2 linked regions of the Daphnia pulex genome follow. The protein of the gene in region 1 binds, or shares a complex with, the protein of each later gene. Links are inferred from orthologs where the notes say so. Each region holds a gene or a part of one and is shown in the gene's direction. Other genes may lie near its edges.

Region 1 (8,020 bases):
ATCTTACTAGGACACATTTCACATTGATGGTTAGTTGCCTGACTTCGACACGGTTGGGCGGCTTCGATGGATAACGTAGCCGGAGACTTATCCGATCCCGGATAGATGTGGCCTCCAAGTAAGCCAATAATTTCTGTTGTGCAAGTATGAGAATGGAGGTCAATAACTACAAGCGCTTCCACCGAAAGTTGTACGCTGAAAGGTGCCTTTAACAAAGAGAAACATTTTCCAATTAAACCATAATAATTTCATTCAAATAACAAAGAGATACCTCTTTCTCGCCACCGAAATTTAGACATGGAACTAACTGAAAAGGAGATTTCTCCTCAAGTTGTGGTTTTGTTCTTTTTTTCGGTTTTTGTTTTTGTGGACTAGTAGATCCTGAATTCGAAATGAATGAGCTCCCTTGAGAGCCGTCGTGGCTGATTGTGTACCCGCCATTCTCGTCTCCATTTTCATGATGGGGTCTCTTCTTCCTGACCCTTGCTGGTAGTCCGGAAATGAGAGGAAGGTTGTTCACAAAATGAGTACTGCTGTTCGCCATTCTCTCTCGATGGCAGGGCACTGGTGGCAACGGACGGTTGTATTGTACCTGATCTGTAGGATTTGAACGAATAAAAATGTTAAATGAACTGTGTAGAAATATCAAAGATAGAAAAGCATACCACATCCAAAGTTTATGGCCCCTGTCAATTCCAAGTAAGCGTGCACTCGGCTGATACAATTAACATCTCCGCAGTTTTTGAGGGAAGGACGAACGGATGTTTTCGTGAGGTAACGTGGTTTTACTCTGCGCCACTCTTGAACAATGCTGTTACGAATCTTCATGTACCTTTCCGGTGTTTTACTGGGACGACCCTCAAAGAAATCCCAATGAATCGTCTTTTCCTCATCTGTGATAATAGTAAATGCAACGGTTCGCTCTTCTAGGGGAGCTGGAAACGTGAAGACGGGCTGCGGGGGTTCAGCGTCCATTAATCCAACATCTGGGTTCTTGGAATCAGTCTCAGAAGATTCACATTCACTTTTATCTTCTTGTGCGTATTTTGTTGATGGCTCAGACGGCTGTGGTAGTGGTGGTGCCAGAGTTTCTATGATTTCAGCTTCTTGAATTTCGTTTTTAATTGGAACAGAAGAATCATCAGAAGATGACTGTAATTTTAGGGTTTCTTTTAAAATGGTTGGAGGTTTGTTGGCTGTACGTTCCTCTTCATCGTCACTGCAATCAATATCAACTTCGGAATCGCTAGAATCTACTAGTTCACTTGTTCTTTGTAATCGAATAATTTCTCCTTGAAGAATGGGAACCGGTTTCTTTGTAAGTGTGGCATCATCAATTATTATATTACAATTTGTTAATTGGGGGACGGATAAGTCTTTTGAAATTTTCCTAGGTCTTCCAGGCGCTTTCTTAACTAAGAGTGGATTTTTTACCCGCCTAAAGAAAGAATTTTAAAAATATCTATATTGAATCAATGGCAGTTATTGTTTAAATATTTGTCATACCTTATTTCTTTTGTAGGAGATTTTGGTTTTGAACGGTTCGTCTTTTTGCTATTTTTTGTCGGAGTCAAGTCCCACTTGGTAGGTGCCACACTAGCAATTACTTCTTCTGTGGATACAGCAGGGACTTCTGCTTCATAAACAATGTCACCCATAGAAAAGTGAAAGGTTGGTTCTTCGTTTGTAACTTCCACTTCATTGATGAACTGAGGAGGTGATGGGGTATTGGAAATGTGAACTGAGGAACTTGTAATAAGTTCTGGATGTGATTTAATGTAACTTTTCACTTGAAGAGTAGTCTTGGTTCCAACTGCTCTAGCAACCTTGCTCCAATTTTGATTGTGTAGACCCTTTAATAAAAGTATCAAGTAAGTTACACAGTCCTGCCATAATCAGTAACCACTCCGACACTTACAATTCCTTTACGAAGAGATGCAACATCATCTTTAGTCCACATAGGACTCACTTTTGAAGCAACTACAGCAGATGTTGTGGTTGATGGAGGGTTTGCCATGGGTAAACTGTTTGAAAAGTGTTTTTTCTCTTCATGGAGCATATTCTCCCAATTAAGTGTTTTGTTCTTATCTTCATTGGCATGATCCATCATTGGCATATTCCAAACCTGTGAGAAAGTTAGATCTTGCTGTACCCAAATATAAACCACTTTGAATAAAAATTTACTTGTGAACTTTCAAGAAGCCAAGGATGTTGCATATAATCGCCCAATAATTCCGAATTCTGTGTAGGAAACTCCCCGGCATCGTATTGGTTCAAATCCGTCCTGTGATCAAATGTCAGTTAGTACAAATAACATGCAAACAAAAGCTTGTACATACTCAAGATTTAGACAGAAATCCCCTAGAACATCAACTTCATCGTCGTCTTCCATTTTTCTTAACGAATGTGTTTTCACAACAAGCTTGATGCCTCTATCACTAATTATATGCCAATTTGCTGCAGACGACGTGTTGAGGGGGGGGGGAGGAAAATGTCGTATGCGATTCGCTTTACAAACAGAAATGCAACCACGCTTTCTTGCAGAAGACACTCGCAGACTCGGCTCAACCAAAAACAAAATCAGTTTCGAAGAGGTGTTAATGCTGGACGGTAGTTATAATGGATCGGGGCAAGAATTTGCCGCCTAAAAACTCCAAGTCAAAACCCCTTGGATTCTCTGGTGATTTTATTGCTCTTGGACCAAAGCAAAGTCGAGCAGAACCAGTTGATGCAAAGAAATCAGGATCTTCTTCAGGTGGTCCATCAAAACCCACTCCTGCTCCACTTCCTTCTTTGGGTAAAATGAGAACAAAAATATTTCTATTTCCATTCTTTCTTTCCCTGGTCCTGACCCTGACCAATAACTTGCTTATCATATCCTTTTATAAATTAAGTTTGAACATGGATTATAAAATTTTAAACTTATCCACATTCCTGTTTAACAATCTCTTTTAACTCGGTTCAGCTACTATTATTATTTATTCTTTCAGTCTGTACATTAGCCTTAAAGAATGATATGTTTCATGACTGTGTAGGTCCTTCAGATAAAAAGCGGGAAGCACCAAGCCAGCTGCCAGGTTCATCTCAAAATCCAGCTAAGAAAGCAAAGCCTGGGCTCCCAAATACTGCATCCTTTACTGCATTGGGAAGACCTGCTTTGAAGGCTGCTGATCCTCCCAGTCCAGGTTCGACTGGTAACAGACTAGAGCCATGGGAAGAAGCTGCTATAGAGGTAGAGTTACTCAATCTTCTGGATTTTATCAATTTATCTTTAAATAATGTTTCTTTATAAAAATTTATTCAAGATTGAAGCATCAGAGTTGTTGAATGCTATTGGAGAGGCTGAAAGTAATGATGATGAAGAAAGAATTGAAGCAATCCTATGTGGATCAGTTAAGCAACTGAAAGCCTTTAGTCTGAGTCAACGGAATAAAGTGGAACCCATTCTTGCACTAGCCCTTGTCTACTTAGCTAAATGGAGATCGCAATATTTCAACACCGAATTGATTGTTGAAGCTTTATTGGTATTACTCAAACGAGACGTTACCGCCAGTATTGGTCCTTTTAAAGGAAGGACAACTGCTTCTGCAGCTTCACTGGCTTGCAATTTGTTGTTAGCCGGTCTAGAAGATTCAACGGAATGGCCAGAATCTTTCTTGAAAGTTTTTGTCGAAGATTCCGTTGGAGAACGAGTTTGGGTAGATCGCGAAGAATGTCAAGGGTTTGTCGAGAATATCCTAACGGCATTCAACACCAAAGTCCCTTCAAGGAACATCCTTCAACAAGAAAGTGCTACTGGCACTGGACTTGGATCTTCTGGTGCTGCTAGTTCTCCTAGTATAACTTCTCTTGGCACCACTGGTCTTGAAGATGATGCCAGCGTGGATTCAGATAACAGTCAGGGTGGGCTGCTTCGAGGTTCAACTCATCTCGATCAGCAACAGGTAACAAGTGGGATTTAAATTATGCACATAGTTGTATTTTCATTGTTACCTTTTTCTTAGGTTCGAGTTATTCCTCGATTTCAACATCTCAAAGACATGGCAGAAGCACTTGTCATGGAAATAGTAAATCAACATTTAAGCAGGTATTAAAATATTTGAGTTGCATTAAGGTTAGGGTAATATAATCAATGGTTTCTCAGACGGCAGCAACCGGCATCTGACCTCACTACAAGGAACTTCTTAAAGTTTTTGACATCAACAGCTGGTTTGCCCGCTGTAAGAACTCAAGCTGCCCAGCGATTGGAAATGTGGCTTTCCAATCAAAAACTTGTGAGACCAGCCACCGACCTCCTCCTCTCGATCTGCGTCAATTGCAGTACCGAAGCTCCTACAGACACAGATGTTCTAAATGCTCTTCTACGTTTGAGATTAAAGGTAGTAATAACGTCAATGTTTTTGTTTTAATTTCAGAACAAAAATAGTAATACTTTCTTCTTTTGATTTTCAGAGTAAACCGCTGCTCCAGACATATCTAACTTGTTTTAAAGAATTGGTCGAGCAGCAGGTGGACCAGCTTCCACTCATTGTGCGGTTGTTAATATTCAATGAGCTCTCCCCTTCTCGAGGACCGAATAACATGGCAGTACTGGCTGTTTTGGTCCAACCGTGGCCTGATCGTGCTGCCACAATTTTAGCGGACGTTTTTATGGAACTTCTACTCAATCGTGACGATTACCTTCGGGCACTCAGGTATTTTGCATTTGCAATTCACAGACGTGGACTGGGTATAATTAATGTTATATGTTTTTAGAGCACTATTACGTGAAGTGGTTCGCGCTCTCCGCCACGACTTACCTTTACCGACATTTTGTGCAGCTCTTTTACACGGTTGTATGCAAGAGAGACGCAAAGTTGCAATCAGAGAATTCGAATTCAAGGTTCGGTAGTATTTAAAAAAAACCATGTTAGTAGCAATACGAAATAATATAATGACTTTTGATACCAGGATCGGCTTTTGAATTCATTGGCAGACTTGACGACTTTATGCATTTTCCTTGCCATAAGTCCAGGTGTGCGTGAATCAGCATCTTTGGTCGCCCGTGGAGATTTGAGAGAGATGGAACTTTTCCGACAGTTTCACGTCCAAGCATCGGCCGTCCAAAGAGAATCGATCAGCTGGTTAAGAACGTCCATCCCGTCCGTGTTTGAGCCCAATCGGGTCGATTATATGCACTGTCTCCGTAAAGTAAGTGTTGTAACGTTCAATTAATAGTTCATTAAATCTTAACCTACAACTTTATTTTAGGTTTTGTTTATGGAAAGTGGAGAGCATTATTACAATAAAGACGGTTGGCCACTCGAGTCGGATCGACCCATTATGATAAGATTGGCTTCTGAAATTCCCGTTATGGAGGTATTTTCCAATTGAAAACCAACTTTTGCGACTGATGATTTGTTAACCACATTTTATTTTTTCAGGATTCATTGATCCAAATCCTGCTCATTGGTTTGTCAAAAGATCATCCAATTACGGCTCCTGACGCATTAGATCTGGCTGATCAATTATTAAGACGATGTGCAGCAGTTCATAATCTAGGATTCCTTATGCTAGAGGCTGATAACCAAGAAATTTTTGACATGGTTTTCCGCCTCACAGCTTATCATTATCCTGAAAATATCGTCTTGCCACAAGGTATTCAAGCGTGTAATCTTATCTTAATTCGTCACAAGCTAATTTTTTTGTTACTTAAGGATATACTCCTCCAAATCTGGCAATTAGCACACTTTACTGGAAGGCTTGGTTGATGCTATTGATGCTGATTGCTCATAATCCTGGCAGTCTTGGGTCTGAAGCATGGAATTCATTCCCTACACTACGAGCATTGATGGAGATGTGTATCACAAATGATTTCGCTACTTCTTCTGGTACCACAGACCAGACAGAGTTGCAGGTGGCTGCAATTGAAAAGCAAACCATCTTGGAATTCGAAACACATCTAGCAGCCGCCTCTACAAAAACTGTTATTACCGAGAACAATTCTTTGCTGCTTAGTCAAGTATTAAAAGCGCTCTTAACTTTTGATTTTCTTGCAAATCATTGTAATATTTTACTTTAGTTGACATCGCTTGATCCACGAGGATCTACTCGACGACCTCCTCCAGCTGTTATTGAGCAGCTTCGAACTTTGAACGCAACACTTCGACTGGGTCACCTACTTTGTCGAAGTCGCCAACCGGACTTTTTATTGGAAATTCTGCATAGGTATGTGAAATAGTATGACTTCAAATAGCGAAATTCTAATCTAATTTTCTTCAATGCAAATTATTTTTTATGTAGGCAAGGAGCTGCGCAATCGAAGCCATGGTTGGCTGATTTGGTCGAGTCCAATGAAGGTGCTTGGAACGTTCTGCCTGTTCAATGTCTTTGTGAGTTTTTGCTGCACGAAGCAGCTGATGATCTGCCTGTTAATGATCTAATGGACGATAGTAAGCAACAGCTCGGCAAACGCAAGGAACGTCGTCACAAACACCAACAGTTGGTCCAGCATCTAAGACTTTTGTTGACTGATCCCAATCAACTACCCGAAGCATGCCGTGAAGTCCTAGACTATTTGATGAGACGATTGAGTGCTCAGAAAGCTCTCGCCCGTCACCAAGCCCTCACGGTAAGAGTTTATTTTCATAATCAACGAGTTTGCTTAAATAATTATACGGTTCAATGATTATACATTACGTTTGCATAATAGGCATTGAGTGTGGTCTTGGCAGTAAAAGACGATGATATTACCATGAGTGATGGTGCATGCTCCGAAGGAACAGGAGACGATTCCCAGTTCTCTTGGCTTGTTCATCAGTTACCTACCATCCCACATTTCGAAGCCGTACGCCCTGCCGTGATTGCCGCTCTACGGGCCGCCTTTCTAATTGAAACGCAACCACAAGCCGTAGCGGCGTACTTGAAGTTCTTATCCACCTGCGCTTTGGAAGAGCCAATTCAAGACCAAGCTGATCTTAGCTTGGTAAATAATTATATTGTAACTTTTTTTATCAGCGAAATGATATGTAATTACTGTGGTTTTATAATTACAGGATCTTGCCCAGGTAATTGTAGAGCGTAGCAGTTTAATTGCTGCTCTCTTACCTTCACCATCAAACAAAACGCTGCAAGCAGCAAAAACGCTGGAATGTTTCTTGCAACTCTTTTGGCATTACCTTCTCAAAGTAATTAATGCTGTTTCCAATTAATTTTTTGGCCAGTTGAAATGATAAAACTTGTATTTAATAGGCACGAGAGCCAAACAAAGGATCCTACACTTGGTCGGAGAATCAAGACCAAGTTTTGATACAGTGGCAATCTGGCGAAGCCGCTTCCCTTCACATTATGGTTGTTCACGCCATAGTGAGTCTGCTGACTTACGGAGCCCCTCAGCTTGAGCAGCAGTCAACCTGTTTCGGTCGACTACTAGAAATTTGGTTTCCTGCCAGCGGTGTACAACCCCAGGCCTATTTAGTCGAGACGACAGAGGAAGCCCATCTTTATCCTGACTGGATCAAACTTCGCATGATTCGAAGCTCTGTTGATCCTATAGTCGATACTGCCTTAAAGGATTTGGAGCCGGCTCAGATGATCCTCTTTATTCAATCCTTCGGCTTTCCTGTATTGTCTATGTCTAAGCTTCTGCAAACTCTGGATCGAATGGTGCAAGAGAATCCTTTTGCCTTCGTCGAGGTTGACATAGACAAAGTTTACATACAGCAGTTGCTCCAGGTATAATTTTATTTTTTTTTTTCATATTCAAAGTCTTTTATGTTTTATTGACCTAAACATTATTGCAGATTCAATGGGCGAGAGGAGCTCGAGGTGGATTGCTTTTTGCCGATATCATGCAGTTGGTAGATACCGAAATTCGTTCGACCGCCGACAGCAAGGCGTTTAATCTGACCCTGCGTCCTCACCTGGACATTTCATCTCATCCTTCTAAGATCAGTTCAGCATCCACTCCCTCGATTGTAACTGTCGATCATGCCTCTGCAGTCCTGCGGCAACTTTTTGACATAAAAACTGTCATTCGGAT
Region 2 (8,296 bases), on another chromosome or scaffold:
TAGACTGTTGTTTGGTTTCTTTTTGTATGTATGCACCTAGAATTAGATTCAAAAAAAGGTGTTGCCGGAATCTAAGGGCGTTTGCTACGCATAGTTTTGTTTCTACTCCCGTACTGATAACATGCCCTATTTTTATCTAATCTTGTAGAGTCGAAAGGAGACGGTACCATGGATGAAGTTGAAGATTCTGAAGATGACTGGACCTTCAATGATTACAGGCAGTCAGAGACAAACAAGGAGGAAAGCGTCACCAACACTGAGGTTGCAGACACAAGCTCTGGCGTTGATGTAAGAAACATTTTCTTTTTTCCATTAGCCCTGCTTAATCTTCTTATTTCACTCTGATGTCCAGTTGGAACCTGAAGGCAAGGCTGATGAAACCTGCATCCAGACCAATTGCCAGGCCAATGATCTTGGCAATCAGCTGGAAAAACTGACTGTTGATGAACTTGAACCAGAAATCACCATTCCTGAGCCAGAACCGGTAAAAGAAGTTGTTCACAAAGATGAAGGTGTCCACCAAGAAGAAGCCCTTCATCAGGAAGAAATTGTCCACCCAGAAGAAACTGTTCATCAGGAGGAAATTGTCCACCCAGAAGAAACTATTCATCAGGAGGAAATTGTCCACCCAGAAGAAGCTGTCAACCAAGAAGAAGAAATTGTTCATAAAGATGAAGTTGTTGAGCCTGATGTTGTTCACCAACCTCAGATGGAAGAAGCTGTTTCTCAAGCAGAAGATGTCGAAGCACACATCCAACAGGTTTGAATGTCACACAACTGGTTTTTATTTGATCTCCCATCTAACTTGTTACTGGCTCCCAATTCTTAGGTTGAAGAAACCCAATCTACCATCATTTCCTCGACTGTCCAAGAACCAGAGTTAGTTCCAGATGAAGTCGTACCGGACGTCAAAGAGGTGAATTCGATTGGTCTGAAATCGAACTTGACAGGTTAAATACAATTCTGTTTCTTGACGTCGTTAGGTGGAAGTTAGTAGCACACAGGAAACGGTCGAACCACGACTTTTGGAGAGTCCAGTTTCCGATTCGGCTACTATCGGTTCTGAAGCACCCGCTTTGATTGTGACTGGAACAGCCATTGGCATTGCAGCCGCCGCTACAGCAGCAGTGGCATCAAAGGCTGCTGCCAAGTCTCCTGCCGCTAAGAAACCCGTCGCAGCTGCAAAGAAGACTACGTCTACTCCGTCAAAACCGGCTGCTAGTCCACTGGCCGCTAAACCTGCTGCCAGTTCACTAGCCGCTAAACCTGCTGCTAAGGATTCAGTTAAGAAACTGGAACCAGCTACACGGTATGCTAATAAATGATCACTGTACTAGATCTTTGGATTAATTGAATTTTTATTGATTTCTATAGCCGTGCTGCTACCACTGACGCTAAACCATCAGCTGATTCGACGAAACCAGCGCGTCCGACCAAATTATCTCCACTGAGAAAAGCTACTCCAGCTGCCCCTGCTTCTCCTGCTCCTAAGCCTGCTGCCCCTAGAGCAGCTCCTGCGACCACTAGACCTGCTGCCAAACCCGCAGTGTCTACTACATCGACGGTGAAAAAGACTACCACCACCACCACCACGACAACTGTCGCCAGCCGGACAGTTACTGCCACTCCAGCCAAGAGAGTAACGCCAGCTGTGAACGGAGTAGCCAAGACGGCATCTCCGGCCAAACCGGCCACGAGCACCTCGTCTTCTCGCACCACCGCTTCGACCACATCTGCGACACCACCGCGTCGTATCGTTTCCGCTCCTGCTAAAGCTTCCAGTGCCACTAGTCGCCCAGCCGCCACCGCAGCCACCAAATCTGCTGGTACTTATTACCTTTTGCTTGTATACATTCTTCCGCTGGATTTTCACATGTCAATTCTTTTTTGAAATGTGCAGCAGCTACTACCAACGGCGACATCAAGCCGAAACCCGCTGCTACGTCAACGACTCGCACTACGGCCAAGCCCATCGTTAATGGCACAGCTACGAAATCCGCTACTCCCAGACCCACCGCAGCCAGCACCAAACTCGCAGCCACTAAACCCGCAACAACCACCGCCACCCCTACTCGCCCGGCGCCATTGAAGAGTAAGGTTTCATTGTTTTTGCGGTTGTTGTTGTTGTTGTTCAGAGCGTGTTGGAAAAGAAGGGCGTTTTGATTGACTTTTAACATCTACCTTTTATCTCTCTCCTAAATTACATTTTCTTATTTTTTTATTTCTTCCCAGGTGTTGCAAGCAGAACGGCCACGCCTGGTAAGCCGATCGCAAAGACGACGACATCAACTTCCAAGCTTGGTGCAACCAAAACTGGTGCGGCAACCAAATCGCCGGGAGCAGCCAAATCAGCATCCAGCGCTTCGGCTGCTCCCGAAGTAACCACAGCAACACCCGAAGTCGCTCTTGCTCCTGCACCGGCCGACGCGGAATAATGTAGAGCAGGTTAAAAAGCATCAGAATTAAGCGTGTTTTAAATGTGAAAGGTTCGAGATAACCAAGGAGATTTAAAAAAATAGAGAGGGAAAAAGGAAATAACGAGTGGAAAACGCCCAACCATATTATAATAACTCCCTACCGCCGCCTGCTATGTATACCGCCCGTCTCTCTTTCATTCGCTCATGATTCATCGTCTGCCAGCTTTTTAAACGTTCTCGTTTTTTCTTTTAAATGTTTTTTTTTCCTCCATCGTTTGCAATTTTCTAAAAGACAATAAAGGTAAAAAAAAAATAATAATTAAAGATTTCAAAATAGTTGAATCCGAGCCGAAAGAGAGAAGAAACGAACAATTTAAGTACTAGGGAAATAAAGAAATGGAGAATGGCTACGTGAAAACTTTGTTGCGATTGCGGGCCCCTGTAAAGATATCAAGGAAGAGATTCAAGAATCATCAATCATTTTTCCCCCCTGCGTGTGAGTGAGCGTGTGTGAAAGCGTGTGCGTGAGTTAATGTACTGCTATCCCCCCTCCCCCCACATTTCTTTCTTGGCAACACACAACATCAACAATATGTAAAAGGATTGTGAAAACCTCTTTTACTTCCCCCTAATGGCTAAATATTACTTTCGCACGCCCTGCACTCCCACCCACCAACGCTCTTTCGGCTAATAATCACCTATTTTATTATTAACTGTATTCGTGTCAAAAGTCATGAAAGAAAATGTCGTCCCTTCGTTTTTTTTCCCCCTCTTGCTCGATTCCATAATTTCTTTTTGTTTTCTCTTTTGTGTTTGTGGGGTTTCATGATTTTCAATTTCAAATTTGCCGCGCACAGCAACGGTTTGCCTTTGCTTTTATTTTTCTCTCCCCCCCCCCCCTATTTTCTGTTGTTGATAGTCACGCCAATGTCCAGCCGAGGTGATTGTGTCCACTGCTGCTTCTTCCTACTCTCTTCTCTACTTCTTACAACCACATGGTAATTAATTTAAAATATTGATTGCGCTGATTTTTTTTTTAATTGGATGAGTTTCGTTTTTATACGTTCAAAGATTGTGTTTCCTTTCCGTCTTCAACTTTTGGATGCAATACCCTCCACATTTTGTAATCCATTACGTGAGAAGTGCGAGTTACAACATTGTAGCGCAAATAAATGAAAAGCAATGGGGAGAAACGTCTTTTTAAATCATTATAAGTTTATAACTTGCTATTATCATGTCCGTTGAGTGCAACATTAGTGCCCCTTGTAGCTTTGATCATCTTGTCATCTGCTCAGTCGGATGACGTGAGTCGTGAGCTATCCGAGCAATCCGGATTCGCCCTAATAAGGCGCCGTGTAAACTGTAGTTCCTACGTTTTGCCGCTAGAGGATCAGAATCAGTTTCGTCTGCTCGTTGCCTTGACAACACAATGGTTCACATGAAAATCAAGCTTGCTATGTAAACCACTCCATGGCGATTTGTTGATTGATTGTGGTCTTAAAAACACAATATTTTGCCAATAAAATGCCGATGCCACCGATTCGTTCCGTTTCGAAACGAAATGTTTCGCCTCGTGTGTTTCAAGCTCTACAGAATTTGGATGTAGATAACTTAGCGGAATGTAACGAAGAAGAAATTCGAGCTGTTATGCCATGTTTGGCTAGAATGAGTTTGATAGGCCCACTGGACCAATCTAGTGAATGCACCAAATCTCGAAGAATGGTCTTCCAAATATTATCCGGTCGTGAAATTGTCAATTCCATAGTTGGGTTACTTTCAATTGATTTCCATGCTCTTGAGGTTGACGTCAAGAAAGAACAAATGCTACGGTATTTTCTTTACTATTGTTATGACTACTTCTTTTATTTTTAATCAAAATTTGTATTGCAGTCAAAAGCTTGGTAATCAAACTGAAGACTCTGTCTTGATTCAGTCACTATCAAACAGTTATGCACTGGAATTTGAAAGGAGTGATCCAACGAGGAAATTAAGGCTGTTTCTCAGTGAGCTCCTCACACTCATGGCACAAGTAGATTCCTCATAAAGCATTCATTTTCCACAATATTATTGTTTCTTATTTTAATTTCTAGAGCAAAGAAATCAGACCAGAAACCACATACAAAAGCAGTGAACTGTTGGACCAGGAAATCTATTTTGATGAAGTAGCTGATGTGCTGTGTGTTGCTTTAGCAGAGCTGACAATTCTGCTACCTATAACAGAAGTTGCAGAAGCTCTCTTGAGAACACTTCACGGTCCATCTTTCATATGTCGAATAGTGGCTAATATGCCTGATACTTTCAATGAAGGTAATATTTTTCCAAAGTGTGGTTTGAACTATATTTTAGAAGTAGTTTGTTTCAAGTTTGCCAGAGTTTGATTAGCAATGGTGAAAGATATGAAGAAGAATCCTTCCTTGGACGGGCCAGATTAGAAACACTTAGATCCCTCTGCAGGATGTGCCCAAATCAGATTTTGATGATCCAACTTAAATGTGTAAGTTTTTTTATCTCTGACAAAGCTTTGTTCTCTTTAGTTTAAGGTTTTTTTCCCTATCAGGTGGAGATGTGCAGAATGCCGGCTCTGGCTGTTTTACTTAGTTTGGACTATGCATCCTGCCATAAAATGATCAAAACAGATAAAATTGAAACCCAGTTGGGAGATGTCGTACCGTTTATCTCTGGTCTACTTTTGGGTGGAGATGCAAATATCCGCACCTGGTTTTCTCTTTTCATTAGGAATGGACAAAAGGTTTAGCTTTCTTTAAATGTACTTTATGTTAGCCGTCAACGTATTTAACTCTATTTCCTTATTTTACAGCGACATGATCGTGCCACTGCGTTACATACTTTACGCCAAGAGCTACTGAGAAGTTTGCAGTCGTTTGTTCAAATGGCTGCTGATGAGCCGTTACCTGACCGTTGTGCTGTTGATGCGTCGGCCCTTTTACGACTGTATTGTGCTTTAAAAGTAATTCTATTCATTCCAATAATAGTATGTTAGATAGGGGTGTTGGAATTGAAAAACTAACCCTTTATTTCAATATTTGTAGGGTATAGCAGGAATGAAGTTGTACGACGAAGAAGGTGGGCTTTTATTGCAATTAATTACCTGTCGTCCACCGCCAACCGAAGCTGGCCTTCGTTTCGTTGCCCTGGGACTCTGCATGCTGATGGCTTGTCCATCTCTCATCGCCTTGCCCGACCAAGAACAAAGCGGTTTTCGATGGGTATAATCGCAAGTTATTCGTAATTAATATCAGTTGTTATATTTTGTGATTTTAGGTGAAATGGTTGGTGAGGGAAGAAAGCTACTTTGAAAAATCGCCAGCGACTTCCTCTGGCAAGTGCATGGAAACAGCGAGGAGCAGTTTTGGAGAGATGTTATTACTAATGGCTATCCACTTTCACAGTGGACAGTTGAGCGCAGTTTGCGACCTGGTCTGCTCAACGCTTGGCATGAGGCTTTTACTCCGGCCCGCTTCTACTGCTCGTATGAAGGTGGCATTTACTCAAGACATATTCCCAGAGCAGGTTTGAGCTTTGTTAACAAGTTTATTTGGTCAAAATCTTATCCTTTTAAATTCGAATGTTAGGTGGTGACATCTCACGCTGTCCGAGTGCCCGTCACTCCCGGTTTGAATGCAGACGTTGCAGGATTCCTTCCAGTTCACTGCATCTATCAGTTGTTGAAAAGCCGAGCTTTTAGTAAGCATCGCGTGCCGATCAAGACCTGGGTTTACCGCCAGCTTTGCGAGAGCCGTCCTCCATTGCATCCACTTCTTCCTAGTTTGGTCGAAGTTTATGTTAGCTCGATCCTGACGTTATCTCCATCGAAAAACCAACAGAATCAATCGGGCGTAGCTGGTTCCATTGACATTGGCCATGACCCAATCAGCGAAGAGGAAATTCGAGTTGTGTTCGCCAACAGTTTTTCCAGGAACGTTCGCCGAGCTAGCACAGACGGGCAGGAGCATTCCGTCACGGCCCAGCTTTTACTTTTATATTACGCTCTACTGTATGAGGATACTCGTCTGACTCAAGTCAAAAACTACTTGGTGGCTGGTATCAATATCAAATCCTATTCTCAGTCGTTCTTCGCCGATTTGCCTATTCGATATTTGATCAGTCAAGCGGAAAAAGAACAACACCTTTATGCGGGTAACATTTAAAAGCAAGATTGGCCATTTTCTCCAATCCGCATGTTAATCCTTTGTTATTTATCAAATATCGATAGGACTCTTTTCACCATTATTACGGCTTTTAGCCACTCATTTTCCACAGCTGTGTTTGGTGGAAGATTGGATGTATGAAGTCAACGATAGCCAATTGTCTTCTTTATGCAGCCCACATGGATCTGTTCCAACTTGTTCGTCGCAGACTGTGAGCCAAGGTAATCATTTTGTGAGAAATTTTGTATGTACTTTGGAATTAGAAGTAAAAGTTTTTTTTTTTTTTTTTTTGTTCATTTAAAGCTTTCACCGACGTAGCCGGTTGTCCAGCACCGGCCATGCTGTTGATGCAGAAGCTCTTGGCTATGCCACCAAAATCATTGTGGCAAGTGGCGCACTCCTTCATCTCGCACTTTCGATCGACCCTCAATGAAGCTGTTCCCAGACAGGTTCAAGGTATGTTTCATGTTCTAGAATCATTGAAGAATTTATATCCTGTAAAAAACCAATTTTCTTCAGAGATGTATCGCCAAGTTTGGTTGAAACTGAACTCGATCCTGCCTCGTCAACTCTGGGTAATGACGGCCAATGCTGTCCGGCTGCAGCTTTCTTTGGAAGATTGTCCACCTCCTACTCTAACGCAGGATCATTTGACGTTTGACCCACTTCACGTTTTGCGGTGTGATCCACGAGTTTTTAGGTAATTTTACAACAAATGAAATTAGTAACTGACGATTGGTCATTATTGTTTTTGTTTTTTTTTATCAGGTGCCCACCGGCTATGCAAATTGTTCTATACATGCTCAAAGCATGGCTAGGTGCATCTCGAACCCATTTGTCACGTCATTTACTCGACAAACCGCTTTTCGGTCCTGTTGCTGCACAAGGGCCTGGCAATTTGGCAGGAGTCACGTCGGACAGCGAACGTGAAGAGCTTAAAATGGCCTTGATCGCTGCACAAGAAAGCTCTGTCGTTCAGATAGTACTCGAGCTTTGCCTACAGACTCCCGAGGATGAGGTAATTGATATTCTTTTCAAAAGCATCAAGTTGAACTTTATTTCTCACAAGGTACCTTTTTATCCCAGGCAAACGATCAACGGCTTTCAGAACTGCGTGAGATTCAGAGCATTGTTTGTTCTTTCCTCCATCAACTTTTTATTGCCGATCCAAATTTGGTCAAATTAGTCCATTTCCAGGTACTTTGGATAGTTGAAACATGCTTGAACAATTTATAATGATTGATATTCATTTGATAGGGTTATCCTTCGGCTCTCTTGCCGTTGACGACACAGGGTATCCCTTCCATGCACATTTGTCTCGATTTTCTGCCCGAGTTACTTGCCCAGCCTATTATCGGGGACTTGGCCAAGCAGCTCTTTGCTGTTGATCTCATATCACACCTGTCTTTACAGTACGCACTGCCTAGATCTTTTAATGTTGCCCGTCTGGCTGTCAACACTCTATCCACCCTTCTCAGCGGTAAAGAAATCAATTACCTATCGATTTAGATATTCGTGTAACATGTTCTTTATTCGGTCCAGTTTTACCAAGCAATGGTCGTACGGAAATTTACCTGCCAGCTCTTCCTGCACTTGTGAGAATAGCTACAGCTTTTCCACCATTAGTTGACGACATTGTGAGCTTTTTGGTTCAATTGGGACGCGTTTGCTTATCGCAATCATGTCTACACGGCTCGTACGATCACCGCA

What was found. The genes of interacting proteins can lie anywhere in the genome.
Region 2: the proteins of integrator complex subunit 1-like (region 1) and integrator complex subunit 2-like are in contact, whole or in part, in a cryo-EM structure (PDB 8RC4), measured with the Homo sapiens proteins. The link is inferred for Daphnia pulex from reciprocal best matches to the Homo sapiens genes INTS1 and INTS2. Residues at the interface, in NP_001073922.2 of Homo sapiens: Gly561, Ile562, Ala563, Trp564, Asp565, Lys566, Gly567, Ser982, His1055, Met1056, Thr1058, Pro1060, Glu1095, Arg1096, Thr1098, Ile1099, His1102, Leu1107, Arg1225, Ser1250, Phe1251, Gly1252, Ile1253, Tyr1285, His1288, Glu1291, Val1292, Gln1293, Glu1295, Arg1296; in NP_065799.2 of Homo sapiens: Pro40, Leu54, Lys69, Leu72, Arg73, Leu75, Ser76, Gly77, Val78, Glu79, Val81, Asn82, Val85, Gly125, Thr127, Leu128, Glu131, His132, Glu166, Val172, Tyr173, Glu176, Arg322, Gln325, Gln326, Arg329, Gly400, Lys402, Thr769, Met772.

Annotation. Positions count from the first base shown.
Region 1 is NC_060019.1:12,569,078-12,577,097, reverse strand, and holds the start of integrator complex subunit 1-like, read left to right. Parts: upstream 1-2,549; 5' UTR 2,550-2,619; coding exon 2,620-2,797; intron 2,798-3,035; coding exon 3,036-3,232; intron 3,233-3,305; coding exon 3,306-3,944; intron 3,945-4,004; coding exon 4,005-4,087; intron 4,088-4,144; coding exon 4,145-4,379; intron 4,380-4,452; coding exon 4,453-4,694; intron 4,695-4,755; coding exon 4,756-4,882; intron 4,883-4,950; coding exon 4,951-5,190; intron 5,191-5,250; coding exon 5,251-5,358; intron 5,359-5,423; coding exon 5,424-5,637; intron 5,638-5,696; coding exon 5,697-6,001; intron 6,002-6,061; coding exon 6,062-6,207; intron 6,208-6,282; coding exon 6,283-6,610; intron 6,611-6,691; coding exon 6,692-6,964; intron 6,965-7,034; coding exon 7,035-7,166; intron 7,167-7,230; coding exon 7,231-7,713; intron 7,714-7,781; coding exon 7,782-8,020. Other genes in the region: histone H2A deubiquitinase MYSM1-like, read right to left, coding at 8-206, 272-597, 666-1,438, 1,507-1,853, 1,919-2,125, 2,185-2,284, 2,340-2,392. UniProt on the Homo sapiens protein: Component of the integrator complex, a multiprotein complex that terminates RNA polymerase II (Pol II) transcription in the promoter-proximal region of genes.
Region 2 is NC_060027.1:804,559-812,854, reverse strand, and holds the start of integrator complex subunit 2-like, read left to right. Parts: upstream 1-3,826; 5' UTR 3,827-3,941; coding exon 3,942-4,246; intron 4,247-4,307; coding exon 4,308-4,446; intron 4,447-4,507; coding exon 4,508-4,724; intron 4,725-4,780; coding exon 4,781-4,911; intron 4,912-4,974; coding exon 4,975-5,166; intron 5,167-5,235; coding exon 5,236-5,385; intron 5,386-5,467; coding exon 5,468-5,644; intron 5,645-5,699; coding exon 5,700-5,948; intron 5,949-6,010; coding exon 6,011-6,575; intron 6,576-6,651; coding exon 6,652-6,807; intron 6,808-6,889; coding exon 6,890-7,042; intron 7,043-7,105; coding exon 7,106-7,286; intron 7,287-7,354; coding exon 7,355-7,604; intron 7,605-7,672; coding exon 7,673-7,783; intron 7,784-7,843; coding exon 7,844-8,066; intron 8,067-8,128; coding exon 8,129-8,296. Other genes in the region: microtubule-associated protein 4-like, read left to right, coding at 149-288, 353-760, 830-916, 984-1,309, 1,375-1,826, 1,901-2,092, 2,233-2,435. UniProt on the Homo sapiens protein: Component of the integrator complex, a multiprotein complex that terminates RNA polymerase II (Pol II) transcription in the promoter-proximal region of genes.